Linked DNA regions of Notamacropus eugenii. The protein of the gene in region 1 interacts with the protein of each later gene in a biochemical or structural test. Links are inferred from orthologs where the notes say so. Each region holds a gene or a part of one and is shown on either strand. Other genes may lie near its edges.

Region 1 (10,701 bases):
TACATTAAGTAATCTGTTGCTGCCTCTTTGTGTCCCCTGGGGGGGTTGTCTGGGCAAAGATACTGGAGGGATTTGCCATTTCGTTCTCCAGCCCAATTTACAGATAAGTAAACTGAGGCACACAAGGTGAAGTGACTTGCTCAGGGTCACATGGCTAGGAAGTGTCTGAGGCCACATTTGAACTCGGGTCTTCCTGACTCCAAGTCCAGCATTCTACTCACCATGCCACCTAGATGTCCATGGTAATCTAGTGTTTGATAAAAACCAAAGATCCCCATTTGGGGGCAAAATGCACTACTTGACAAAAAAATTGCTGGGAAAACTGGAAAGCAGTTTATCAGAAACAGGCACAGACCAACATCTCACATCATATACCGAGCTAAGCTCAAAAAGAGTGAGCAATTTAGGGAAGCGAGGAAAGTTAACCAATCAGATCTATGGATCAGATCTAGGGATAGCTCTGAACCAACAAGACATGAGAGCATTACAAGAAGCCAAACAGGAAAGGGGCAGCTGAGCCCCCCAGTCCAGCCATCTTCTCTCCCTTTCCCACCAGATGGAACCAAAAGGTGACCCAACAAGAATGGTGCCTTCCCTTAGTCTTGTCCCCAGTCCCTTCAGACAGAGTCATGTCAAAGCTCCCTCCCCACTGCCTGGGGATCTGGGCCATGGCCCCCGAGAGGGGAGAAGTGCCCACAGCTTCAGGGTCAGCAGATGGACAAGAAATGGCCTGGGGGAAATCCAGGCACAGATCAAGGCAGCCCATTGCCCTGGCTGGCCTTCTACTGTAGAGATTACAGGTCCCACAAAGCAGGTGTCAGGGGCATTGGGGTCACCTGCTCTCTGTGCCCTCTCCCTTCTAGGTTTCCCTCTTGTTCCTTCCCCCTGGCTAGGGCTGCCTCAAGTGTTTACTATCCCTCTTGAAAGCTAGAGAACTGGGGCAGCAGAAGACCCAGTCAGAGAGTACCCAGGGCCTGCCCAGGTGGTAACCAATGACCTCTAACGGGCCCTGACCCTGGCCTTCCCTCAGGATCCAGTCAGCAGTCAAGTTCTCCCTCCACAGCCCTCCCACCTCTCTCCTCATAGATGCCCCTCTGTTCAAGAAACACTGGGCAACAAATCCCAACCCCGCTCCAGAGACAGGCCTTCCAATGATGGGGTGATGAGACCCCTGAAAAGAAAAGATACAGCCCAATTCTGGAATTTTCCCACATATTCCAGCAGCCCAGACAACTGGCCCATCCCAGACCACACTCCTCAATCCCAGCTAGATCCTTTCCCATTTGTACATAAGTATCAGTTTCAACTCCATCAAGCTGCAGGTCCCCAGCTTTATGGACCTTACAATAAACCAGGGGTGGGGAGCCTTTGGCCCTGAGGCCATATGTGGCCTTCTAGGTCCTCAAGTGCATCCCTCTGACTGAATCCAAACTTCACAGAACTCCCCTTCGTAAAAGGATTTGTTCTGTAAAATCTGGACTTGGCTGTATCCCAAAGAGATTATAAAAATGGGAAAGGGACCCATGTATATAAAACTACTTATGGCCAAGAACTGGAAATCGAGGGGATCCATTGGGGAATGGCTGAGCTGGTTGTAGACAATTGTGATGGAGTACTACTGTGCTGCGGGAAATGATGAGCAGGCAGACTTCAGAAAAACCTGGAGAGACTTAGATGAACTGATGCGGAGAGAAGTGAGCAGAACCGGGAGAGCACTGCACACAGTAACAGCCACATTACATGATGGCCAACTTTGATGGACTTATCTCTTCTTAGCAAAGCAAGGATCTAAGACAACTCCAAAAGACTCAGGATGGAAAATGCATTCACACCCACAGAAAGAACTGGGGAGTCAGAACACACAGAGTATAAATGCTCTTTTGGTTTTGTTTCTTTCTCATGATTCCTCCCCCGATTGGTTCTAATTCTTTACATGACTAATGTGAAAATGTTTAATATGAATGTACGTGTACAGCCTGTATCAGACTACATGCCATTTTAGGGAAGGGGAGGAGAGAAAATTTAGAACTCAAAATCTTACGGAAGTGAATCTCAAAACTAAAAACAAACAAATCAATTTTTTAAAAAGTCAAGGAAAAACTCAGACCCAGTCAAAAGGCCACACCCAAGGACCTAGAAGGCCACACGTGGCCTCAAGGCGCAGGTTCACCACCCTGGCAAACCTTGTCACTTGAGTACAAGGTTTGAGTGCGTGCATTCATTCATTCCAGGCCCCATGAAATTGGTCCCAGGTGACACCGCCCTGTGCCCTGACATTTAGGGTTCCCAGCAACCCAAACTATGTCACCTTCATGCATCTACATTCCTGCCAAATGGGCCTCCAGTACCCATCCGCCCCCAAGCCTTTGTACTGGCTCTCCGTGAGGCCTGGCATATGGTCCCTCCTCCCTCCAACAGGAAGCCTCTCCCCCTCTTAGCTCCCCCTCTCCTTCCCCAGTGAGCATCCTGCCTATAAACCCTCTGAGGGCAGGGGCTGCCCAGCATCTGACAGAACGCTTGGTCAGCAGCAGGCAGCTGGCCAATGTCTTAGGAGTCAGACGGACAGACTGGGGGCTGGGCTGCCACCTGGGAGCTTTCCCAGCTCTGGCCTCTCCCAGGCCCCAGAGCAGGCAAGCACTAGTCTGGCTGGGCCTGGGACCAAAGGGCCACCATTCCACCACTCCCGTGGGCCTCAACAGCATGGTGAATGCTAGGGAACCCCTCCTCCCTTCCTTCCTCTTTCAGCCCCATCCCCTAAAAAGACCTACATCATCGGTCTTCCTGGGACACCCATCGGCTAGGACTGTCACTCCTGAAACTCTCCGGGCTTGATGTTCAAGGCCTTCCTTCCCCGTCCTAACAACAGCTGACCTGTGAAGCCTGGCTCGGCAGCGTCTGGGGACTGCCCCACACTCTCCTCCCCTCCCCTCCCCCAACAGCTGGAAGCAGATCTGGAGCTGTCCCACTCACAGCATCCTTCTTCTGGGCCAGAGCTGCCCAGGGCCAGAGAACCTGGCCAGACTCTGCTTACCTGGGGCTGGAAAGAGGGGGGTCTGCAGAGGTCGGGGGAGACCCAGGGAGCCAGGCAGCAGCAGCAGCAGCTACACACACCAGGCCAGAGACCTGACTCATGTCCCATGACTCAGACTGCCCGCCCATGGCTCCTCCCCCAGGCCCCACCCAGGCTCTCCCAGCCTCCTGGGACCTCCACCCCGGCCCTCAAGGAGGCCAGCCCCATGCTGGATGCAGAGCTGAGCCCCTAGACCCTCCCGGGGAGGACGGGAGAGCAGGGAAGGGGGAGGGGGGGAAAGAGGGGGAGGGGGAAAGGAAAGGAGATGGGGAAGAAGGGAGCCTGGCTGCATAACTGGGGACAGGGGGAATGTCCTGGGCCTGCCCTTCCACCCTGGACAGTGGGGTTCAGCGGGGCTAGGAAAGCTGGAATCTTCTCCACCAATCATTCCATGGGGTGAGGTTTCTAAGGGTTGCTAACAAGATCCCTGCTTAGATCTGGAAGGAAAAAGCCCAGAATTGAGATCTGGTCTCAAATACTAGCCAGCTTCATTCAGTGAAAAGCTTAAATTCTGCTCCAGTTTCCTCAGCCAAGGAGCAGGACCGAGTCTCCAAAGAGACCAACCTGAACATGTCAGACAAGGGCTGGTTCTGATTACACGGTTCCTGTGGGCCTCAGACGGCCCAGTCTTGTTTTACTAGGGGGAAGATGGGCTGGGAGGCGCAGCGATCCCCAGGGGGTCTCCACTTTCTCAGAAAGCCCAGGAGGCCACAGCTATCTCCAAGGGCCTGGGGCCTGCCAGCCTTCCAGGACCACCCCATGTGCGCCTGAGAAGTGGAGGGCAAGCAGCTGGCAGGCCCCGGCACAGGCCAGTAGTTCCTTAGCTGGGTAAGCCTGGACCAGTCACTCTGCTGGTGCCTGCCTCTGTTTCCCCGTCTGTAAATTAGCTGCAACAGCATCTCCATCTCAGGGGTGCTGGGACTGGGTAAAGTGCCAGACCAGTGCCTGGCACCTTGGAGGCACCTGATCCATGTCTGTTCACAGACCAAGGGTTCCCCCCAGATGCTGCCCAGTATGCTCTTTGACCTCCGGACTGATCCCCTACTACCCAGCCGGCCCCCGCTTCTTCATCCACTGGCCCCGCGGCCCCCCTGCGGTGCGGGCCCCGCGGCCCCCCTGCGGTGCGGGCCCCGCGGCCCCCCTGCGGTGCGGGCCCCGCGGCCCCCCTGCGGTGCGGGCCGCGCTCTCACCAGCTTCCCGGAGCGCGGAGCCCCCGCTGAGGGGCCACCGAGGGGGGCCGACCGCTGCCGCAAGCACCCATCGGGGGACCCCGTGGCCCGTGCGCGGCGGGGGTGGGCAGCCCGGCCCGGGGGCTCCCCACCTCGGCCAGCGTAGCCGCCTCCGCCCCAGCATGGGCCCCTCCCGCCCCGCCCCCGCTTCCGCCGCCCCGAGCATGCGCTCTGCGTGGAGGGCGGTGCCGGACACGCGGGCGAGGCCCCGCCCCCGCAGCGAGTCGGGGGGCGTGGGGGAGGGGGAGGGAAGGGCGCGCCCTCCCCCTCCGTCGTCCCCCAGGGTCCTGGAGCCGGGTCCGAGGCCCCAGGCGGTCAGGCGGGGCAGGGCCCGGCAGACTCACCAGCGCCTCGCTCTTTCCTCCCTCCCTCCGGGCCGGGCCAAGGGTCCTGCGGCGGCGGCGGCTGCGCAGCGTCGGAAGAGGCCGAAGGCCCTTTGGGGGGGGGGGGGGGCCGTTAGCCAAGCCACAGGGGCGGGGCTTGTCGGGGCGGGGCCACGGGGCGGGGCCTCAGGGGCGGGGTCAGAGCTGTCTGCCCGGGATCTCGAGATGCGCGCGCAGCCTTCGCCTCTCGGTGCGTAAGCTTGGTTACTGCGTGCGCCCCCCCGAGGCCGCGCGGCTCCCAGGGTCTTGGACGCTGGAGGGCCTTGGCCCCGCTGCCCACCGGGCACGGTTCAGGCAGCGAACGTTTCGATCCCTCCGGTCGTGTGCCGGCCTTTTCCCGTCCCTCCCGGATGCTCGCTGCAGCCTGGCCGCTCCTTCAGCTTTTCGGGGTTCCTCCTCGGGAGCCCCAGCCCCTGCCTGGGGGAACCCCGTTAGCTTCTCCAGCCCCAGCCCCCATCACCGCTGGGCTCTTTCCTCTCCGCCCGGAGCTGGCCAGCCAGCGTCTCTGCGCTCACATCCCGCCACTCGGCTTCTGCCCCAAGGGCCCCCCAGAGATCTGGAAATCCCCATCGTGCCTCCCCGCCGTCCCCGGCCACGCCCTCCGGCTCTCACCTCCCCGTCTTTGCACAGGCTGCCTCCCGCCAGGCCTGCCTCCCTGAATCCCGGGCGCCCCTGCCCCCAGCTGCCAGGGCTCCGCTGCCAGGACCGTATCCAGAGCACGGACGGGAGCCTGTCCTTGCACCACCAGGCTTTGCCTTCATCCCGGGCACTGTCTACACTTCCATCTGGGGAATGGGCCCAGTCCTTGCCCTTCCCCCTCCCCGGGCTGGGCGGGTTCCATAAATGGCTCTGCCCACCAAGACCGCAGGCCTTCGGGTGGCCCCGAGGCTGAACTCCAACTCCCAGCGGGCCTCGGGAAGTCGAGCCATTGCGCAGGCGCCAGGACCTCGGTCCTTCCCGTCTGCCTCCACTGGGTGGCGCTGCTGCTCCGCTGGGGGCGGGGCGGGGCAGGGAGGAAGGGAGGGGGAGGGGCAGAGAGGAGGGAGGAAGGGAGAGCGAAATGGGGGCGAGAGCGGGGAGGAAGGGGGCGGGAAGGGTTGTGCCCCGCCCACAGGCCGGAGCGGGAGGGGGGCCAAGGCGGGGGCCGCCCCGAGCCTTCCCTTCTGTCTCCCCGCGAGCCTCGGGAGCCTGAGCGGCCGCGGCCGCCTCCGCCTGGGCTGCTGCAGGTAAGGGAGCCTCCGGCCCCGGGAGAAGGGATGGGGGGTGCGCATGGCCGCCCCGCCGGGGGGCAGAGCTGCGGCGGAGCTGGGTGTGACCCTGCGCGCATCGTGGGGGCGCGGGGGGGGGGCAGCACCCTGATGGGGGAAGGTGGGGGGCAGCACCCTGATGGGGGGACGTGGGGGGCAGCACCCTGATGGGGGAAGGTGGGGGGCAGCACCCTGATCAGGGGGGAACGTGGGGGGCAGCACCCTGATGGGGGAAAGTAGGGGGCAGCACCCTGATGGTGGGGACGTGGGGGGCAGCACCCTGATGGGGGAAAGTGGGGGGCAGCACCCTGATGGGGGGACAGCACCCTGATGGGGGGGACGTGGGGGGCAGCACCCTGATGGGGAAAGGTGGGGGGCAGCACCCTGATGGGGGGACAGCACCCTGATGGGGGGAACGTGGGGGGCAGCACCCTGATGGGGGAAAGTGGGGGGCAGCACCCTGATCAGGGGGGAACGTGGGGGGCAGCACCCTGATCAGGGGGGAACGTGGGGGACAGCACCCTGATCGGGGGGGAACGTGGGGGACAGCACCCTGATCAGGGGGGGAATGTGGGGGCAGCACCCTGATCAGGGGGGGAACGTGGGGGGCAGCACCCTGATCAGGGGGGGAATGTGGGGGCAGCACCCTGATCAGGGGGGCAACGTGGGGGGCAGCACCCTGGTCAGGGCCCCACAAGCGAGGGGGGGGGTGTGTGGGGGTGTGTGGGCGGCCTGACAGCTGTCGGCAGAGCTGGGGCAGGGCCAGCCTGATCTGGTACTCAGACTTCACCCCAGGCCCTTATGGGCATCCAGGCAAGGTCCAGGTGCCCCTGGCTTACCATCATTGGGCCATTGGGCCCTGAGGCTTTCTCCAGCAGGGCCAGGCTACCTGGAGGGGCTTCTTCTGCCCAGGGGGAGCCTGGACCTGGACCCCCAGGCCCAGAAGTTTGGGTAAATGGCAAACACTGGTGAAAACCTACCCAGCACCATGCTCTTGTTCTCTTGAGGCTGCCTGCAGCCTGAGTTCTTGTGTGTGCTTGTTAGAGTTACTCTCTCTGCCCCTCAGCGCTGGGCTCCTCATTCATCTGCGGGGAGAAGGGAAGCTGGGACCCTGAACTTGTCAGAGAGAGCATTCCGATAATAGCAAACTGGCTGTGGCTGAGCCAAACACCAGCTACTGAGCTCAGGGACTCATGTGATGTGATGACAGGTGGTTCAGTGGTTAGGGCCTCCAATGGGCCAAGGAGAAGCATCGGAGTTCTTAATCCCTGAGCCACCTCAGAGGAGGTCCATAAAGCACCTACTGTGTGGGTCAGGGTTGGACTCTAGTCCCTGCCCTCACAGAGGCGGTTTAGTGAGAATGCATGGCTTTAGCCGTGAGGAAACAACATGAGACCATGGAAAGGCCTTTTGAGGGTACAATGCTGATACTGGCCTCAAGGGCCTTTGTGGACTCAGCTGTCCTAGGTTGTAAGACCTTGAACAGAGGCTGCTGCACAGCTTGCAGGATGTCCAAGGCGTCGGAAATGCTGCTGTTAACAGCAGAACCATTGACATTAGCCATTAATGGTTCTGGCCTTCACTCACTGGGGGACCTTGAGTTTCCTTATCTGGAAAATGAGAGAATTGTACTAGGTGACCTCCAAGGACCTTTCTAGCTCTGACAGGTTAGAATCCTCTGTGCCTCAGTTTCTCTAGCTGCAATGAAGGTATGCCTTCCTTCTCATTAGCTTGGCCTAGCCCCACAGGGGCTGGTGCCGTGTCTACTCACCTTTAAACCCTGATCCTGCCTGTGTGCCTCAGTTTCCCCATCTAACAGCTAGGGTACCACTGGAGTACATAGTGGTAGGTGATCATTGTAATCCCCCCATTTCTTCCCAGAGGCCAGGCAGTTTGCAGATTCTCAGTATTCAGAGAAGCTGATTCACTGACCCAGTGGGCAGGAATGAAAGTCTGGCCAGGGTTCTTGCCTTCACCGACTGGGTCTGCCCACCATGTGGGCCTCCGCTCTCTGAAGGGCTGGCCAGCCTTGGTCTGCTTGGCCCCAGAAGTCAGGAGCCAGAGCGTCAAAGGAAGGCACAAAGATGCCTTGGGATGGCCCAATGGGGTCAGAGCTGCCTGAGAAGGTGTGGAGTCTTCATCACCAGCTGTCTTCACCTGCACTTCTGGTCCATGCCCTTCAGGCATTCTCCAACAAAGGGCCCTGTTCTCTCAGCCTTCTTAGGCTGCTGGGATGAGGCCTGGGCCTAGCTCTGGCTCTCCCTTCATCCCACCCCCTGCTCCTCAGGGATTTCAAGATTCTTTCCTCCTGGAAGCAGACTCACTGAGGGAGTGACTCATTGGCCAGAATCCCCAGCAGGCCTGGGGCTGGGGCATTGGGCAGCCAGCCCAGGGATGCCAACACTGTGTGCAAATGTCCGAATGTGTGGTGGTGTTGCCTCTATCCCCTCTAAGGGCAGGGGAAGACCAGCCAAGTCCTCCAGGGACAAGATAATGTCCCTGTGTGGAAATGAGGAACGGGAAGGGAGAACAGGCTGCTCCCCAGGAAAGTCAGAGAGCCTGGGTAGGCAGCCAAAGGCAGGGTGAGACCTGGGCTCTGGCCTTCACTAGAAAGTTTTCTGCCCTGTGGGCTGTGTGTGTGTGTGTGTGTGTGTGTGTGTGAGAGAGAGAGAGAGAGAGAGAGAGAGAGAGAGAGTGGGGGTGATGGTTTGAGACAGGCAGTACTTTGGCCTTTGGGACTGGAGGTCTCTTTGAGGGGAGGCTTGGCTGTAGACCTGAGAAAACATGAATCCTCAGGGAGCCGGGAGAAATGACTCAGAAACTTACACATGGAAATTCTGAATTTTTTGCCTTCACTAATACATTAGCGAGGACAAAGGTGTCCAAATACTGAGTCTGCTGGCCACCCCTAATGTCTTTGGGACATGAGCCAGAGATCCCACCAGTGCTATCCTCTTGATGATGGGGTGAGGGACTGGGGCGGGGGGGTGTGAGGCCCAATCCCACACTTATTTGCAATTTGACTTTGGATATGTCCCATCCTATCTTTGGGCCTACGTTTTCCCATCTGTAAAATGGGGGAGAGGTCTCTTCCAGCTATGTTGTTCTAAGAGGCAACTTGGTGGGCTGCTGTAGTGGGGTCCAACAGAGAAAGCCTCCTCTGAAGAGTGCAAAGACAGAGGCACACACAGCCAGAGGACAGTGGATTGCTGCCTGGCTCCCAGGGTTCCTGGTCTGGCTGCTGTTGGCTCTGATATACAGCCCGTATTGGTGGCCCTGACACCAGTCCCTCCACACTGCACTAATTTTATTCTGGCCTCTTTTTCCCGCCCCTGCAGCAAAGCTTGCCTGCCCTGGAAAGAAGCTTAAAGTGGTAGGTGAGGGCAATTTCAGAGGAGAGCTAAGCTCTGGTTTTCTTGCGCCTTGCCTCATTGGCTGGAGACAGCTGCCCCAGTTAATGTGGGTGGTCATGCTCAGAACTCTCTGAGAGAGCCCTAGAGCAGAAGTCTGGCTGTCAGGCCGTTACTCCATGCCTCAGTGATCTCACCTGCTAAGTGGGCATAGTCAGGTTGGCAGAGCAGCCTTCAGACCCTTCCTTGATGGGCCTTGAGGGTCCCCTGGGGAGTGCAGGCATCCCAACGAGGGAGTGGCCAATAGCTCTTGGGGGTGGGGGAGGCGGATGGAGCAGCTTCAGCCTAGCGGTAGAGCTGTGGGCCAGGACGGAAGGCCAGTCACTGGGGCTTGTTGGTAAGTGAGGGCTAGGGCAGGAAGTGGGGGTGGGGGCAGCTTGGTGTGGGAGCTTGGCTGAGAAGGGGAGGAGAGGTGGGAGGTCTGGGGGAGTTTGCGGAAAGGGTAGAGGGGCTCTCTCTGAACCAGCCCATGCAAGATCCTGTGCTAGGGAGGAGAACACAGGCCCTGCCTTAGCTGAGCTTGGGTTGGGGCAGGCCAGTGGCAACAGAGAGAGAGAGAGAGAGAGAGAGCACGCTTTCAAGCAGGAAGCCTGTCCTGAGGGCCGAGGTCTGGGGCCCATGGTGGGGGGAGGTATGAGGGAAAGCCGTCAGGGAGAAGGTGCCACTGGGCCTAGGCCTTGAAGGTCCTGCCATGTGTAGAGAAAAGTGGGAGCAAATTTCAGAGTCTGGGAGAGTCGTAGGGAATACGGCTGGATTTTGAGTTGGTCTTCATTCTCAGAGGTCCAAGGAGGTCATACCTAGGGCCCTTGCCTCCCAATCCAGAGCTCTGCCAGCCAGACAATGGTGGGAGGGGAGCAGGTTATTGGGGGACCTGCCTGCCCTTAGTGCCAGTAGATGGGGGCTGCTCAGGTTCCAGGGATAGAACTGTGCCTTCCCCTATCACTGCTAGTTTTTATATAGCAAACGTAAACAAAGCGTGTTCTTATCCTTACAACAAACTTGAGAGAGGCACATTTTACAGACAAGGAAACTGAGGCAAAGGAGGGGAAGTGACTTGCTAGTAAGTGTCTGAGGCTGAATTTGAACTTGTGTCTTAATGACTCCAGCCCAGGACTCTGGTGCCTCCAGCTGGTTCAGGTGAAGCTACATCTGTTAAGATGTTCAGATGTCTCTATCCAGTCAATGGCCTTTCCCAAGACAACCTCATTCTAAGAGCGAGCCTGGAGGTGGCAGCTCTCTTTCGAAAAGAATGTGTTTGATTGATATGTCTTTAGAAATTGTCCTGCCAGGACAGCTGGGTAGTGCAGTGGCTAGCAAACTGACCCCCAAGTCAGGAGGACCTGAGTTCATATCCAGCCTCAG
Region 2 (10,273 bases), on another chromosome or scaffold:
TAAAAGAAAACCAAAACTCCTGAGTTCTTTCTAGTAGTAGATCGATAAATTCTCGGGGCAATTATTTGATCTGAACCTTCAAAATACCGGGCAACAAACTATTCTTACTTGGATTTTTTTTTTAAACTTCCAGTAATAATACAGACCTTCAGTTTCTGTTTTGACCCGGAATTCACGTAAGGAACACTGTCCTAGAACCTCAAACATGTCTCTCCTCTATATTTTCCCTTTCCCCACTACAACACTCCCTCTCCTCTTCTCTCTCAGCCCCTTACCAATAGTAACATATTCTGAATTAAGAAATCTTAGAAAAACAAAAGGTCCAGAATATCAAAGGGACTAATGAAAAGAAATGCTTGGGAAGGTGGCCTAGCGCTACCAGACCTCAAACTGTACTATAAAGCAGCAATTATCAAAACCACTTGGTATTGGCGAAGAAACAGAGAGGTAGACAAGTGGAATAGACTTGGCACTCAAGATGCAGTAGGCAAGGAATATAGCAACCTTCTGTTTGATAAACCCAAGGACCCCAGCTTCTGGGATAAGAACTCATTGTTTGACAAAAATTGCTGGGAAAACTGGATAACAGTGTGGCGGAAATTAGGCATAGACCCATACCTGACACCGTACACAAGAATAAAGTCCAAATGGGTACATGATTTAGGTATAAAGATTGATACCATGAATAAACTGGAGAAGCAAGGAATAGTGTATTTATCAGATCTATGGAGAAGGGAAGAATTCTTTACTAAAGGAGAGATAGAATGCATTATGAAATGCAAAATGGATAACTTTGATTACATTAAACTGAGAAGTTTTTGCACAACCAAACCCAATGCAACCAAAATCCGGAGGGATGTAGTAAATTGGGAAAGAATTTTTACAGCTAAGCTCGGGGATAAAGGCCTCATTTCTAGAATATATAGAGAACTGATCCAAATGTTTAATCATACAAGTCATTCCCCAATTGATAAATGGTCAAAGGATATGAACAGGCAATTTTCAGAGGAAGAGGTTAAGGCTATCTATAATCATATGAAAAAATGCTCTAAATCACTATTGGTTAGAGAGATGCAAATCAAAACAACTCTGAGGTACCACATCACACCTATAAGATTGGCAAACATGACAGAACAAGAAAATGATAAATGCTGGAGAGGATGTGGGAAAGTTGGAACACTAATTCATTGTTGGTGGAGCTGCGAGCGCATCCAACCATTCTGGAGAGCAATTTGGAACTATGCCCAAAGGGCTACAAAAATGTGCATACCCTTTGACCCAGCAATATCGCTACTAGGACTATATCCCCAAGAGATCATAAAAATGGGAAAGGGTCCCACATGTACAAAAATATTTATAGCAGCACTCTATGTAGTTGCCAAAAACTGGAAGTCAAGGGGATGTCCATCAATTGGGGAATGGCTGAATAAATTATGGTATATGAATGTAATGGAGTACTATTGTGCCATAAGAAATGATGAACAAGAAGACTTCAGAGAGGCCTGGAAGGACTTATATGACCTGATGCTGAGTGAAAGGAGCAGAACCAGGAGAACTTTATGCACAGCAACAACCACAGTGTGTGAGAGTTTTTTCTGGTAGACTTAGATTTTTGTAATAACACAAGAACTTCTTACCAAAAAAAAAAAAAAATCCCAATGGAGGATCTCAAGGCAAAATGCCTGCCACACTCAGAGAGAGGAATATGGAAGTCACTCACATATTGTAGCAGATCATGTTTGTGTATGTGTATGTGTTTGTGTATCATGTTCTGATTTGTTATACGATTTCTTTCATTTATCTTAGTCTGACTACATAGCATGACTATAGTGAAAATATACTCAATAGGAAAGTATATGTAGAATCTATACAGAATTGTATGCAGTTGTGGGGAGGGAGGGGGGGAGTGGGGGGTAGGTGGGGGGGATAAAATCACAATTGTATGGCAGTGATTGTTAAACATTACAAAATAAAAATAAAAAAAAAGATAAAAAAAAAAAGAAATCTTAGATGTTACTGCAAAAGGTTTCTTTTTAATTGGCATCTCATCAGGACTCTATAGTAATCCTGTTATATTGACATACAGCCTCCACTGGAAGACAGGCAAGGCAGCTGATTCCTTATTGGGACAGCTGTAGTTTGAAGAAGTTTCTCCTTAAATCTAACCTAAATCCGGTTCCCTGAAACTTCTGTGCTTAACTCTTTCCTCTAAGGCCCAGCAAATCAAGTCAATCTTTTCTCTTTCTCCCAGGTCTCGTCCTGAGATTGACGTGTCACTCTCAGCTTGTCTCACTTCCAACATATGGGTTTGCCTATTTTAACCACCTCAATATAATAGTTCTTATTCACATAACTTTAAAGTTTACTAAAAGCTTAAAACAGAAAGGAGCACTGGTTTGGATCCAAAATATTTGGTTTCTACCATTTATTATTATGGCGTTGTGTAAGGCATATCACTTCTCTGGGCCTCAGTTTCTTTATTTGTAAAATGATGGGCTTGGGTTAGACTCTGCCTCCAAATTTCTTTCTTTCCAACTTTAAATGCTATGGTCTTTGTTTTCTTCATAGTAAACCTGTGACTCGTATAATGCAAATGTTAAATACTGTACAAATTCTGACGATGAAGGCAAGAAGACTAAGAAACTTGGGTTTTCTGTGGCACGCGAGGGATGGGTTGAATAAAGCGTGTTCGCAGACACAAACAACCATACAGAAAATACTGGGTGCTAGGAAAAGCAAAAACTCATCTCCTTCGAGCCGGAATCGAACCAGCGACCTAAGGATCCCTACAGGCAAACTCTACAGTCCTCCGCTCTACCAGCTGAGCTATCGAAGGAGGACACTATAGCAAATTTACGGTTGACATTTCAGTGAGACTTTATGATCTTCTGTGGAGTTCATAAGCTATTTGAACCAGATTCATTTTTACATACTTTTTAAAGGTTTATTCATTTAACAAATACTATGGAACAAGACACTGTGGGGGAATACAGTAGTGAATAAGGTGATCATTGTTTCTGTCAAGGAGGATACAAAATAAAAGAGGTCAGGGTATGTAAACTGTAGTAACTTAAGTCCCTAGGGTTAAGGTTAGGGTTAGGGTTAGGGCTAGGGCTAACCCTGAATGTGTTCTCTCTGATTTAGACTAGAGAAGAGATTTGTGAAGGCCTTTTAAATGAAAGACAATTAGACTTACTTTGCAGGGTGTTCAAGCAGATCTTGGGTGACCATTTATCGGGGAGATTACAGAATGGATTCATGTATCAGGCAGGGTGTTGGACAAGATGACCTCAAATCCTTTCAGTGGATTCAGTGAATCTTAAAAAGTCATACACAATAAAGATAGTAACAGTGTTTTAAGGGTTCCGAGCAGGGTAAAATCACATTCTGCTGGAGAACAAGAAGGGCTTCTGGGAAAAGGCGATGTTTGACCTTCTCTTTGAGAGATGGGCAAGATTTAGGGGGCATAGATAAGTGGGACTAAAGCACTTCTGGGCAGGGGGAACTACCAGAGCAAAAGTAGAGGTTGCAAAAGAGCACATGCTAAGGGAGTCATGAAATAGTTCATTTTGGTGGGCTTTTTTCGAATGTTTAAATCCAATTAAATATCTATTTAAACTACTCCTACTACTTGCAAGGAAGTTTCCTTCTTTCCCTGACTAGTTCACTAAGCTAAGGGCGATGATTTCTCAGTCGCGAGGGTTGGCAAATGCCTCTGGGAGCTTTTCTGTCTTGCTACAAAGAAAGCGCAAAGACTAGTGTGCCCCTTTCCCTGGGGGAAAGGCCAGACGTAAGTCTCTGTCTAGTTAATTGGTCCCTCAATTCCAGACAGATTTACTCCCGCGCGGCAGAAATTAAGTTCTTAGTTCCCTCCCTATCCCTCAGTTTCCCTTTTGTCTCTTAGTACTAGTCAAGATCCCTCTGACTACAACTTCTGTTGGACAAAGTTAAAAGTGGAATCAATCTATTAGTATGGGTTTGGGCGCAGGTAGGGAAGGGAAATGAATACAGGGAAGGGGTAAGTGATGTCATGGCAGGATAAATAGTAGATGAGAAGAGAAAGAGGACGAAAGAAAGATAACCACATGATGTATTCCAAACCAGAAACAAAATGCATTCATATGTGACAGACAAGGAGTTTAACCACCCGATCCAGTATGGGGCTCGTTGGTCTAGGGGTATGATTCTCGCTTTGGGTGCGAGAGGTCCCGGGTTCAAATCCCGGACGAGCCCGTACTTTTTTCCCCCTCTCTATACATAAGGAAATATATTAAAACTTTTCTTGTACTTCAGTCCTCCCTGCTAAAAGGAAACAGAGTTAAACAGAGATATTAGTGAGAGCAAAGGGGAAAGTATTGGGGACATCTACATTAGACCAAGCTGACTCTATTTCAAGGTCCCCCGTCCACCTCTCTCCCCCGCCCTCCCTACTTAATGCGTGCAAGCCAGCTGTTTCTACCCCATTGGAGTAACAGCTCCTCTCCACCCCTGCATTCAATTTTTCCAGCCCTTTGCTGCCCCCTGGAGGTACTCCAGGAAAGAGCTTCCGAATTCCGACAGTGGTTCCCATTTCGCTGATCGGGGGCGCCTAGGCCCAAAGCAATGCCTCAGAATTGCACCAGAGCCACTCCCACCTTGGGACGCACCCTGCTACACCCACCAGAGTTTCCAAGTGTTAGGCTGGGAAAGAGGACCCATCCCCAGGCTGAGAGGACAGTAATGATCCCTTTAGTTCCGAGCAAGTTTAACAGAGGACCCCTGCATCACATGTTGACTCTCAAACATATCCACACATCACGTAATACAGCAGACACAGACACACTAACATGTACACGTACACATCACACACCAACGTGCATACAGAACAGTTACACACAACACCAACGCCCACAACTTTTCCCTTTCCTCTCCTAATACCCTCCCCCTTTTCTCCTTTCATTCCTCTTTTTCTTTAGCTCTTACTGACTCTTCTATTGGCCAATGAGCAGAGCCCCAAAGACCACATTTCATACATAACTTGTCTTTCTGGGATTGTACTTGTTTGTATTATCTTGGCCATCTTTCCGCACTCTGAGTCTAGCACTGTAGCCACCTCATCACAGTAAGAGCCCAATAAATTCCCATTACTTTGGGTTTTTTATCACGAACGAGCGCCTGGTGATAGAATAAATCTGTTAACTTTAGCTAATTTTTCCTCTCCCGTTTTCATTTCATAGATTTTCATTCCTAAAAGGAAACCTTATTAAGAGATCATCCTTCTCCTTCCGCATTACTGAAGGAGGAAACAGGACTGTTGCTCAAAACACGGTGAGTTACTTTTTATTGTTATTTTGGTTTTTTGGGGAAAGGGTAGGGAGGGATACAAAAGTCTTTGACTTCCAGTCCTGGACTCACTCTGTCTTTCCTTAAAAAAAAAGTTCAGAGTCAAATGATCCCCCAAACCCCAAGAATTTCAGCTAAGCAAAACAATTCAACATTTTGTATAAGTCCGACAATCTATAGTCCACCTTCTCTCTTCTGAGAGGCAAGAGGCATGCTTCACTCTCAGTCCTCTGAAAGACCCAACCATTGACCCACTGCACGTTTGGTGAAGTTGTTCAGTGTTGTTTTCCCTGTGTTATTGTGTCATCATGTATATTGTTTTGTTTACTTGGACCCTGGCTCAGTTGATGCTAGTTTTCCCAAGTTTGTCTGACTTGTTGATGTTAGCTCTTTCTAAGGGTGCAACACAACCTCATTACATTCATATATGTATGCTTAGCTATTCCTCAACAAGGGCACCCAGACTCTTATTTGATCAGTTAAGGCAAATGTGTAAGGAGGCAGTGTGCTGGACATATCAGTCTTCCTTTAAAGTTGAAGTTAACTTGCTTTCTTTTTCTGCTTAGTGTCTGGGTCCACTTTTTGAGGTTTAAAGGTCATGGCCCCCCTTTCCCTTATCCTAAGTAAAATATGTGTTTTAAAAAACTGTGTTTTCTGCAGTGGCATATACCTGGACCCCAAGAAAGGAATTTCTGATGGACATGTTTCTTAGACTTCCTATTAGAATTTCAGGGGAATCTGCAACTCTGACTTGGGACTGGTCATCAAGATAAGCTATATAATGTTTACTTAGCAGATATTACAGTTAGAGTATACAGTTAATGTTGAAAAAGTGGTCCCTAATGCAACTACTTATTGCTGTCTCCTTCTTCCCATATACTACAAAAGAAGCATTTATTAAAATATGAATTGAATGCAAAAGAATTGGGAGGAGGAACCAGGAATATGAAGGAGCTGGTGCCTGAGGTGAACCTTAAAAACAAAGCAAAATAGATTGATATTTGGAGGGAGGCCTTTCCCAAATCACTGTAGGAGGGAAGGAAAGGACAGATCTGGCCACAAATAGCAATTGTGATTGGAGTATGTGAAGGAGAACAATGGTTATAATGAAATGGGTTAAGAATTGCCATGTTTATGTAGAAGAATAACTTATAAGTACTTGGAGGAGTTTACTGGTGGAGGATTGAAACTCATTGTTGAATATTGAATTTGAAAAGTGTCTTGAAAAGAATAATCTGTATAGACAATTACATATGCAAACAACCTCAATTCTAGATGCTTGTCTCAGAGTTTGCAGAGGAGTGAATATTTAATCCCTGTCTCTATTTCCAAATAGAGAAAAATAAGTGTGTAAACAAGACTTTGGCCCCATTCTCCTTTAGTCAACAAGATTCCTGAACATCACCACAGGAAACATGCAGAGCACATCTGTTGCTTTTCCAAGAAATTCCCCCAATGATATTTTTCCATTGGCAAAAGTACATGCAAGTTCTAATCCCTGTGCGAGATAAGTTGCTCAGAGTGGTTTGCAGGGTATGTGGCAGCAGAGAGAGGGAAGGGACAAGTAAGCAGGATATGTAGGGAGTCACAGTAGAATTATCAGATTGGAAGCCCTGAATGTTCATGGTTCGGCTGGTTGGTGCTTCTGTCCAGAGGATGTGTGTGTGTGTGTGCGTGTGTGTGTGTGTGTGTGTGTGTGTGTGTGTGTGCGCGTGCAATTCTAGAGCACATCTGAGCTCACATTCCTGTGGTGTCCTCCGCATTTTGACATTCATATTAGGCAAGGAATGTATTGGTTAAGTATTTCCAGGCTAGCTATTTGGATTGTTTCAGTCACTGCTACTAAGACAGAAGTGGTAACTATTTGTTTTCTGTTTATCCTAGGAGATCATTGCTTGACATCTTTTTTAGAGCTCAGGTATTTTTAAAAGTATAGTTCTACTTCATTTTATTGCACTTTGCTTTATTGTTCTTTGAAGATGTTCTATTGAATTCTATTTTTCTCATTTTCTTTTTCTTTTCTTTTTTTAAAAACAAATTGAAGCTTTATGGCAAGCCCATGTCAAACAAGTCTCTCAGTACAATTTGTCCAATAGCATGTACTCACACAGTGTCCCTTGTCACATTTTGGTAATTCTCACATCATTTTAAACTTTTTCATTCTTATTATATCTGTTATGGTGATCTCTGATCAGTGATCTTTGTTGCTACTATTATAATTATTGTGGGGTGCCACAAATCATGCCCATATAAGATGGTGAACTTAATAAATGTTGAGTGTGTTCTGACTGTTTCACTGACTCACTTTTGTTTATCTCCCTGTCCTTGGGCTTCTCTATTTCCTTGAGACACAACAATATTGAAAGTCGGCCAATTACTACCCCTGCAACGGCTTCTGAGTGGTTAAACCAGAGGAAGAGCCAAATGGACACAGCGAATTTCATTGCTGTCTTATTTTTAAAAATTTGCTACAGCCCCTTGAACCTTCCCCCAATCAGTCAGCAGCCACAACATGGAGGCAAGACCCTCCACCAACAAAAAGATTACAACTCATTGAATGGCTAGCATTTTTTAAACAATAAAGCGTTTTTAAAAGTATGTGCATTTTTTAGACATAATACTTCTGCATACTTAATAGACTATAGTATAGTATAAACATAACTTTTATATGCACTGGGAAATGAAAAAAATTCATGTTACTCATTGTATTGCGATAATCATTTTATTGCAGTAGTCTGGAACTGAACTCCACAATATCTCTGATGTATGCCTGTATGGAAGCTATTCAAAACTGAACTTATCTGAGCACCCAGGGTACCTTTGCCTACATGAAGAAAGTGTTTCCCAGTAGTTGTTAGTTGCGTTTATTTTCCCTTCTACTGTCTAGGCAAGATGGTATGAGAATGTTGCTTGACTGTCAGTTTATTCTTTGTTCAATCTGATAGCAAACATGCCTTCACTCAAAAAAAAAAAACCCCTTTATAACTACCTTACATCTTCAAATCACTGTGCTAGTCACTTGGGATGAAAAAAATAATATGAAAAAATAATAATAGTAGTATTGATAATGCAGAGCAACCTAAGAGGAAATTGAGCACTCCAGTATAGCTGAAACATAAACACAAATATGAATCAAAAGTAATTTGACATAAGACTAGAAAGGCAGATTGGAGACCAACTGTAGAGAGCCTTGAATGCCAGGTAAAGAACGGGCTATTTTTTCCCTAAGAGCAATGGGGTTGCCATTGAAGATTTTCTGGTAGTGACATGGTATGAATATATTTGCTCTTGAAGAAGATTAACTGGTGGTTTTTTGTTTTTTTTTCTTTGATGAATTGGATGGGAGAAAGTCAGTAGGATGTCATCACATCTAACGAAAACCTCAAAAACCTGAAACATCTAAATGCATCACCTGGGGTCACCTTCCATCATGTAGGGTAATCCCATAGTAGAAGGCTGTCCATTGTGGTTTGTTCAACTTTAATAGTCAGCCAAAAATCTTGATTAGTTTAAAGTAAAGACAATTTTAAAGTCAAGTGGAATGGTAAAAAGAAAGAAAAGTACTTAACAAAACATTCCCTCATAAATCTGGGGCATATTTCATCACAAATACCGCATCAGCAGGGAATACCCATGGAGAAGCAGGCATGTTGAGAATACATATAGGCAAGTCACACAAATAGAGAAAGTGTGTGTTGATAATATTTAACATAAATTTTGGACTTTAATAAGGGCTAAAGCTTGAATTAAGAAGAGTCTGAACCTAATGGCCTTTTGGTGTCAGGGAAGCAAAGGGACTGACTTAATAATTCCCTTAGGAGACCCTTTCTCCTGGCATTTTAGTGATAAAAAAAACCCCACAGATGTCCTGGGTTGTAATTTCAATTGAAACTTTGTTTACCCTTTCCTGTGTCAGCTATTTTGAGTACCTGTTTAGGACAGGAAGCCTGCCACTAGAGTGGCGGGATTTTCTTCTTATTGTATGTCACAGACACATATGTTTACACAGCCTGGAGTCACTAAACCCTACTGACATTGCTTTGTTAATTGTCTTGTCTTACTAAATTTACAATTTTTCCAACTAAGAGAGTTCCTTTCTCACTGTAAAATGTGTATAAGCCAGAAGATTTCTGTACCAGCCAGCCAGATTTGATCCTGTCTCTGTAGTGCTATGCAACTGTTATCTTTATGGGGATTTGTTTAATTAATTAAATCATAAAATGTATGCATTTAGCCTGTGCCTTTTCTTTAACCAAGTTCTCAGGTCAACAATGTCCAGGGCATACATATGGAGGAGGAACTCATTCTTTAGAGCTGTTGGAAGGCCTTTGTGTTCATACTGTTTCTATTAGGTCTGCTCATGACTAATTTCATAGTTTCCACCAAATACTGGTTATAAGCTGGCTATGAAGTCCATCCCAGATTCTGTTTGACTATGCAGTCCTTATCTTCAGGGAAAACTTGCTCTGTCAGCTAGTAGACTTTTCCAGTTCTTTTAGAAAAGGTAGAAAACCTTTGCCCTAGGACATGTAACAAGCCTCTCATTTCTCTTGCAGGAGATAACTAGTTCAGGTACCAATCTCTTTGGAGTTTAGACCAAAGAGCATGATCCTCCCAGTTGACTAAGGCTTGAAACTTTAGTCTTTTCTTTAGATTTCTCTTCCTCCTGAGGAATTTGTGTCTTTCAGGCAGAGAACTCTCCCTAGTAGATGGTAAGTATTCCATCCCAAATTTTAATATCTGAAGGCCAAACTATTAACAAAACAGTTGGTATTTGCTGGATACCAAACAGTTCTATTTCTCAGAATTCACCAGTTTCCAAACCCTAAGTCTCTTCTGTTTGCCCATGTGGATGAGTGGGTGGAGAAAAGAACAGAAAGACAATGCCAAGTCTAGAGGTCCGAGGTCATTTTCTCTGCTACTGGCTGAGTTGCTTTCCTGGCCCCTTCCT

What was found. The genes of interacting proteins can lie anywhere in the genome.
Region 2: the proteins of RNH1 (region 1) and ANG are reported together in a solved structure, tested with the Homo sapiens proteins (3 studies listed by BioGRID and IntAct, with this or other methods). The link is inferred for Notamacropus eugenii from reciprocal best matches to the Homo sapiens genes RNH1 and ANG.

Annotation. Positions count from the first base shown.
Region 1 is NC_092873.1:27,882,439-27,893,139, reverse strand, and holds the start of RNH1 (ribonuclease inhibitor), read right to left. Parts: upstream 4,481-10,701; 5' UTR 4,466-4,480; coding exon 4,261-4,465; intron 3,167-4,260; exon of another isoform or gene 3,032-3,166; intron 1-3,031. UniProt on the Homo sapiens protein: Ribonuclease inhibitor which inhibits RNASE1, RNASE2 and angiogenin (ANG). May play a role in redox homeostasis. Required to inhibit the cytotoxic tRNA ribonuclease activity of ANG in the cytoplasm in absence of stress.
Region 2 is NC_092878.1:13,450,754-13,461,026, reverse strand, and holds the start of ANG (angiogenin), read left to right. Parts: upstream 1-5,216; 5' UTR 5,217-5,307; intron 5,308-9,939; exon of another isoform or gene 9,940-10,034; intron 10,035-10,273. UniProt on the Homo sapiens protein: Secreted ribonuclease that can either promote or restrict cell proliferation of target cells, depending on the context. Endocytosed in target cells via its receptor PLXNB2 and translocates to the cytoplasm or nucleus.